Rattus norvegicus: one gene and its partner. The protein of the gene in region 1 binds, or shares a complex with, the protein of each later gene. Links are inferred from orthologs where the notes say so. Each region holds a gene or a part of one and is shown in the gene's direction. Other genes may lie near its edges.

What was found. The genes of interacting proteins can lie anywhere in the genome.
Region 2: the proteins of Jaml (region 1) and Cxadr are in contact, whole or in part, in a crystal structure (PDB 3MJ7), measured with the Mus musculus proteins. The link is inferred for Rattus norvegicus from reciprocal best matches to the Homo sapiens genes JAML and CXADR. Residues at the interface, in NP_001005421.3 of Mus musculus: Arg57, Asp59, Ala69, Tyr72, Phe75, Tyr77, Leu80, Val82, Glu120, Arg122, Ser127, Met128, Val129, Met130, Lys131; in NP_001020363.1 of Mus musculus: Thr23, Gly51, Pro52, Asp54, Glu56, Leu58, Ser60, Gln65, Ile66, Val67, Asp68, Gln69, Val70, Leu73, Tyr83, Lys121, Lys123, Lys124, Ala125, Pro126, Gly127, Val128, Asn130.

Annotation. Positions count from the first base shown.
Region 1 is NC_086026.1:54,280,138-54,284,419, forward strand, and holds the start of Jaml (junctional adhesion molecule-like), read left to right. Parts: upstream 1-1,458; 5' UTR 1,459-1,612; intron 1,613-4,282. UniProt on the Homo sapiens protein: Transmembrane protein of the plasma membrane of leukocytes that control their migration and activation through interaction with CXADR, a plasma membrane receptor found on adjacent epithelial and endothelial cells.
Region 2 is NC_086029.1:30,500,777-30,504,423, forward strand, and holds part of Cxadr (coxsackievirus and adenovirus receptor homolog isoform 1 precursor), read left to right. Parts: intron 1-437; coding exon 438-560; intron 561-1,095; coding exon 1,096-1,234; intron 1,235-2,277; coding exon 2,278-2,542; 3' UTR 2,543-3,647. UniProt on the Homo sapiens protein: Component of the epithelial apical junction complex that may function as a homophilic cell adhesion molecule and is essential for tight junction integrity.

The DNA of each region.
Region 1 (4,282 bases):
ACTGAGCCATCTCTCCAGCCCCGACAAATTTCAAAAGATGGGCATGACCCAGGGTCATGTGTATGTATAAGAACTCTTAATTTGAAGTGGTGATTAAAACAGGTATCTGGCAGTCAGAATGTCCTGAGTTGTTCCCCAAGATGGCCAAGCCACTCAAAGGGTTTGCTAGGAGAACAACTTGCTCCCTGTATGATGGCAACCTTCACAGTCTGAGGAAACCTATGCAGCAACATGGTAGGTTGGAGCGCTGGGCAGGGAATCTCTGGAAGCAGCTAAAAGTGATTGATTAGCCAGGCTGCATCTGTATGGTAAGAGAAGAGAAACATGAAGCTGCCTGCCTGACACATAGCCCGGCGCTTTTTATCCTTCTTAAATTAATTGGGCTTTATTTACATAACGCTGATTTCTCAGCACATGCTCTTGCCACTCAAGATCTTTTGTTGTTGTGTTTTTGTTTAGATAGGGGCTCACTGTGTAATCCAGGCTGGCTCCTTCTGCCTGAGCCTTCTGGGTGCTGAGATGTTGGGCGTACACAGCCAGACCTGGCCCATTTGAGATCTTGCTTGTAGAGTTTGTAATCCATAAGGGAGGTGAGATCTGCAGGGACCTGGGATGTGAGGCTCACTTCAGTGAGTTGCAAGTCTTTCCTTTTAGAATAAAAAATATACACAGTGTGAGTGGGACAGCTTTGTCAACCCCTCTATGGCGCCAGGACATTGCCAGAGAGGAGGCAGAATATAAAAGCCAGAAGATAGGAGTGCCTTGCTTCTGGTTATGACATGACCATGGTAATCATGTCCACACAGCAGCTGTGGCTACCTGCAGAAGACCTATATATGCACACACACAGGCACACAGGCACACAGGGACACACACACACACACACCACACATACACACAGGGACACACTCATACCACATACACAGGTGCTCATACATACATACACACACATACCACATACATATGCACACAGACAGGCACAGATGTACACACACACAAGCATCATCCCCACATACACACATCATGCACACATGTGTGTAGAAACACACCATACAGGGACATGAACACATGGACATAGGCATCACTCCTACACACACACATCATGCATACATGCACGTACATACACACACCACACAGGCATGCACATGTACACACGCATGCATGCATATACACAGGCACACACACATGCACACACATGCGCACAATGCACCCCCTATGCACACACGTGCACAGCACACACACACACACACACACACACACACACAAGCATAGGACTAGTGGGGAAGAGGATCAGCAGGGTGAGCTGGGACTAAGAGAGAGTGATGAGGGTGAATATGGCCATCACAATACATTGAATACCATTTGTAACATTGAAAAAAACAATTAAAAATAATGAAAATATAGATGCGAATTGAGCGGTGAGCTAGATGACTGAATGGAGAACTTTGATCAGGAGTTCCTGTTTCTGTTTCCACAGCCACCGCAGAAGGCATGCACATCTGGTTTGCTTTGAGCCTGACCTACTGTGCTGGCAGAAGTCCCTTGGTTGCTGTAGGAGATGCTGCGGCAGGGGATCGTGGTGCACTGTTTCTCCTGGGCACTGTCATCTTGGGTAAGCCGTGACTTTGTGTGCTGTGCGCCATTGTTTGAGCTGTTCTGAGAAGATGGCTAGTTTTCATTCAAAGGAAAGGTGGTTAAATTGGCATTGCCACAGGATGAGGAGGACGTCTGTGGAATTCCCGGTCTCTGTAGGTGGGCTGCCGTGAGGTAGGCAAGTAGGCGCAGCTTTTGTTTCTGCCGTGTACTTCGTGTCAAGGTTCTCACAGAAAGAGAAGTAAGCCTTGCTTGCGATCAACGCAGACGAGGTTGCTCAGTTTTAGCTTTCCTGTGGCTGATGGCTTGAGGCAGAATCGTGACTGTTTTGAGCTTGTGGCAGGACTCTTACCTCACTGTTTTCTCTGTGTTCTGGATAAGTCACCACGGCGGCAGCAGTTCCCTGGAGAGTTAGACTATTGTCTTCACTCATCAGCCCTGACAGAGCACAAGCCTCCAGAAAGGCAGATGCAGCCCGGATGATCACTAGGAAGATGCTGGTCTGGAGGGAAAGGAGGATGGTTCCCAAGGAACCATCCGAGTAGCATGTAGCCTAGGCTGGGCTTCAAAAGCCACGAAGCACCCTTCTACCCAATCTATATCACATGGTCCCAGAAGGAAAGTCAAGGGCACTGTATCTCAGAGTGGTCATGAGGACTCGTAAACTTAGACATTTCTGAGAGCCCAAAGGTGCACAGGAACGGGCAGGGGAGTTGAAAGGACTTAGCACCTCAGTAGAGAGAGGCAGGCTTAAGAGTGCCACACAGTTGTCTGATTCCGTAGTCTTTGCGATTACCAGGGGCAAACTGGCTAGGAGACAGTGCCCTGCTCTTCCATTGTCTTGCAATACTCTCATCTCTGAGGGCCACTGTCACATTCTGTGTGACATTCTCATTGTTGCAAGTCTCTTTTCTGGAGCTTTTCTCCCCTGTTGTAATTATACCCAGGGGGGAAAGTTCCCATTCGTTGTTAATCGTAGGAAAGGGTTTCTGGTGGTTGCACACAACCTCAGACAGATAGGGTAGATTTGCCAGGAGTTACTGGGAAGGAGCCTTGGGTTTGGGTCAGATGCTCAGCCAGCATGGGAAATGACTGGCTGTGTGGCATTACCTGAAGGAAGGGTGTCTGCTGAGCTAAGTCAGTATCCAGAAAGGGAGCGGGGTAAAGAGGAGAGTTTCACAGGCCCATCAGCAAGGCAATTCTGAATGTGTCTGTGGTGTGTGTGTGTGTGTCTGTGTGTGTATGTATGTGTGTGTGTCTGTGTGTGTCTCTGTGTGTGTGTGTCTCTGTGTGTGTGTCTGTGTGTGTGTCTCTGTGTGTGTGTGTCTGTGTGTGTGTGTCTCTGTGTGTGTGTGTGTCTGTGTGTCTGTGAGTGTGTGTGGTATGTGTGTGTGTCTCTGTGTGTATGTGTGTCTGTGTGTATGTCTGTGTGTGTATGTATGTGTGTGTATGTGTGTGTCTGTCTGTGTGTGTGTGTCTGTGTGTGTGTCTGTGTGTGTGTCTGTGAGTGTGTGTGTGGTGTGTGTGTGTCTGTGAGTGTGTGTGTGTGTGTCTGTGTCTGTCTGTGTGTGTGTCTGTGTGTCTGTGAGTGTGTGTGGTATGTGTGTGTGTATGTGTCTCTGTGTGTGTGTGTGGTGTGTGTGTGTCTGTGTGTGTATGTATGTGTGTGTGTGTCTGTGAGTGTGTGTGGTGGTGTGTATGTGTCTGTGTGTGTGTCTCTGTGTGTGTGTGTCTGTTTGTGTGTGTCTGTGTGTGTGTGTGTGTCTCTGTGTGTGTGTCTGTCTGTGTGTGTGTCTGTCTGTGTGTGTGTGTCTGTGAGTGTGTGTGTGTGTCTCTGTGTGTGTGGTGTGTGTGTGTCTGTCTGTGCGTGTGTGTCTGTGAGTGTGTGTGTGTGTGTGTGTGTGTGTGTGTGCAGTCATGTACTAAATAACATTTCCGTTGACAATGCACAGACAGGAGTCCTATAAGATTACATAACCTAGCAGCATTGTAGCCATCTTAGCTCGCATAGGTGTGCTCTGGGATGGTGATCACAGAATGGAATTTCCTGATGACACATTCGCCCTCACTAAGTGGTGTGTGTGTGTGTGTGTGTGTGTGTGTGTGTGTGTGTGTGTATAAAAAAATTTCTGAATATTTGCCACCCACCCAGGAAATTGAAACCTAACTAGAGGTTTCTTGGTAAATTCCCCAGGTGTCATCCTGAGCTTGTTTGAGAAGCTGTAAATTGAGGGTTTCCTGGTCCCCCGACCCCGATACCAGAGCTATAGTGATACATAAACACCTTCTTAGCCTCTTGGAACTTATCACCTTGGGGAGAGCAAATATTTAATCAGATGAGCAACCCAGCACATAGATGATTACTAGCTGTGACACATGCCGGAGAGATAAGTAGCACCATGAAGGTGTGTGGCTAGGCGTCCTGTCCTGGGATGGATGGCTGGGAAGAGGATTCCCTGAGAGGATGTTTCACTTGACATCTGAAAGAGGAGCCAACGGGAGTTCAGGGCACAGAGGTATGAGCCGAGGTTTGGAAGAACTTTCAATCAGTGGGAGCATATTAATCTTGCTTCTCCAAATAAAGCCTAGGGAGTCCACACACTAAAACACCAGCAACTTTGGTGGGTGTGGAGAAACCGTGATGACATAGGCTGGGCTTGAAAGATCCAGATAGCCAGAGCGCTTGGGC
Region 2 (3,647 bases), on another chromosome or scaffold:
GGGGAAAGTACCAGAGTGTAATCATGGTGGTTCTGCCTGGGTTCTTACTGTTGTTCCAGTAACTTACCCATGTAAGTTTAAACCAAACCTACGTAATGGGACATGAGCTAAAAAGTTACAACTTGGCTAAATGTAACCATTCATGTGATCATTGTAGCTGCTGTGCAGCAGACCAACCACCTTGCTTTAGCTGAGGCTGTGCCCGAGGGGATATAGTAACTGTAAGCTTGCTTATAGGACCTGCAAGATGGTTGTATGAATTCTGGAGATGTGCATCATCTGCTCCTGGCAGTTTTTCTGCACCCAGAATTATCTGTCTTTTAACTACATTGCCAAACTTATGTGAAGTAAACTTCACACAAATTAGTGTTATTAAAAACTGACAGCAATCCATCCTGTAAAAGCAAATCTACTCTCCCCCTGCTTTTCTTTCATAGAAATGACTTCACCGGTTATATCTGTGAAAAATGCCAGTTCTGAGTATTCTGGGACCTACAGTTGCACAGTCCAAAACAGAGTGGGCTCTGATCAGTGTATGCTACGACTAGATGTTGTCCCTCGTAAGTACATTCTCTCACATGCTTCACCTCTGTTAGCTCTCATGGCCTTGTTCAGCATACCCAGTGAGGGTCTCTGATGGCAAGGATGCTCTCCCTCATTGGACACTCTAGGCGTTTGCTCATTTTCCTCGTTCATGCAGAAGAGAAGATATGATGGTTTTATCAATAAAACCGTCACTTAGGAGATGAAAGTTGTCAAATCAGCTTTGGTCCACTATTTAGCCATTAAAGTTATGAAGCTTATGACATTTCTGTGTGCTAATCTAGACAGGTTGCACTCAGATTCCATCAGTTTTTAAATTTTGGTGATATGTGTCATTCAAAAGAAAATAACTTTTATACATTTTCCTTGCTAGACAAAAGCTTTGATGATCTCTTTTAAAAATTAATATATGCAATGATTCTGTCGGTCTCTTTCTACACACACACACACACACACACACACACACACACACACACACACACTCTTTCAGTACTAAGCCCCCATGTGGTGGGTTTTCTTACTCCTTCTAATTCTGTTGCAATCTCACGCTAGCCTCCAACAGAGCTGGAACGATCGCGGGAGCTGTCATAGGGACGCTGCTTGCCCTTGTGCTCATCGGGGCCATCCTCTTCTGCTGTCATAAAAAACGCAGAGAAGAGAAGTACGAGAAGGAAGTGCATCACGACATCAGGTAATCAAGTGAAACTAGACTGGACAGGTGTATAACAGTTCCATCCCCAGAACCTCCGTTCCGAGGCACTCTGGTGAACTAAGGTATTGTGAAAAGTGCGTGAACGCTTTGATTCCTCCCTTCAAATCCCCGCCAAGCATGTGTGTTCAGATGTCTGACCACTTCCAGCAGCACTGTGAAACCTTCACAGTTTCTTGTCCTGTTTTTAGAATCACAGCCAAGTGTGTGTCTCAGGAAGACCTGCTGTTTCCTGTGAAAAGACCTCGTGGTCACTAAGTGGCATGGGTAGTTTGTGGAACTGGTAATGGAGTTTTAGTTTTTCTTCTTGGGACAGTCTCACCGTGTTGCCCAAACTGCCCTTGAAGTCATAATCATAGAGTTCTGCTAAGTGGTGGGGTCTCGGGTGTCACTACCAGACATAGCTTTATTTTCTCAAATATTCTAAATGGGAAGATTTTAACTAGGGTTATACTTTAAAAAATAAGAACACATGACTTACACAGCTTAACAACTTGGAAATTGTTGTTAGTTAGGTCAGGAGATTGGAGACCTGAACGCTTGTTGTTTAAGATGCACCCAAAGTTATTCAGGTTTATTTATATTCTGTGTCCATGCTTGATGAAAATTCTCAGGCACCAATTTTCAGGTTTTGAAAACAAAATATGTAGTTTTTGGCTGACATCTTAAGAGGGCTTTTACAGCAAAAAGGAATTCTTTCTTTCCTTTGGGGGTATGTTTATGTGTCAATGCTTTAAGTATTAATGATATGGCTTAACATAATCATCAATGCTAGGAGATGAAACTGAAATGTCTTCCTCATCATACATTACAAAACATGCATTTGTACAAAAGCCACAGCTCAATTACTGCTCCTTACGGTCTGACCACGGTAATGAATTGAGACAGGCACACAGTTAACGAGGTGAAGTCTCACTCCGCTCACTGTTTGCATTGTCCTTACCCATGCTTTGTAGCTTACATAACTGTAAGGTTTTAGAGGTGAGCGTTCATTTTTAGCATGTACTGGGCGCTTTGTTTTCCAGGGAAGATGTGCCTCCTCCGAAGAGTCGGACATCCACCGCCAGGAGCTACATCGGCAGCAACCATTCCTCCCTGGGGTCCATGTCCCCTTCCAACATGGAAGGGTATTCCAAGACCCAGTATAACCAAGTCCCCAGTGAAGACTTTGAACGTGCTCCTCAGAGTCCGACTCTGGCACCCGCTAAGGTAGCTGCCCCTAATCTAAGTCGAATGGGAGCGGTTCCTGTGATGATCCCAGCACAGAGCAAGGATGGGTCTATAGTATAGAATTCTGCACCTCTCTTCTCCGCTTTCCATGGTTCGATTCTTCTCTTGACATATCAGTACTTATTCTAAATTTTGTTAACAGTAGCCCATGTATATGTATGTGTGTGTATATATGTGTAAGTATGTATACATACATACACATATATACATAAACACACACACACACACACACACACACACACACACACGTGAAGAAATTTATAAGGAACATGCTCCGTAAGAATTTTTGGTTATAGTAAATAATAAAGGCTGAAGAGTAATGACATTGACCAACTGGAAATTTTACCAAGTTGATTTCTAAGGGCACCTAAACAATAATGCCCTTATATCCTGAGAAAGATATAGCACTTTGAGTATGATGTCATGGGTCAAGAAATTTGTGAATTTACGGACGTACCAAGTTGATTCTTGAACCATCTGAAAACGATACTTTGTAGTTCCTACCATTATTTGTAGGGTATCTGTCTCATTTATTTATGTCTCTCAAAAAGAAATCCATGGAAAAACCTACTTAATGTAAGAATTTGTTTTTATAGTCTGAAGTGTATTCCATTATTTGTAAGAGTAGGAGACCTGACAGTGTTTTAAAAATGCCTAGTTTTATTTCTAAGTCTTTCACGATCACTGATGACACGATTTCTTTTCTTTCTTTTTTTCTTTTGTTGTTTTGAGATTGGGCCTCAGTGTGTTCGTTGCCTAGGCTGGCCTCAAATCATGATCCTCCTGCTTCAGCTTCTTGAATGCTGGGCTGACTAGTCTGTATCAGTTCCTTAAGTATTTAACCTAGAGACTACAGCAGCCACAGAAAGTAGTAACCTTTTGTGCACTACAAAAAGAAGCACCTTTCAGCTTCGGTAGCATTTGCCTCTGCTACACACAGAGGTGAAACACTCGATGCTCCACGGGTCGGGGGAGGAAGAGGAGGAGGAGCGACGCGGAGGTCTGCGCCTCGGGGCCTGTGGACCTCAGCAGAACTGACCAGGCAGAGTGGGAGTGCCAGGTTTATCAGTCTGCAGCTAAACACTGGCCTTCTATTTTAGGTGATGTTTTTGCAATTGGGAAGGAAGGAAGGAAACAAGGAAGGAAGGAGGTAGGGAAGGAAGGA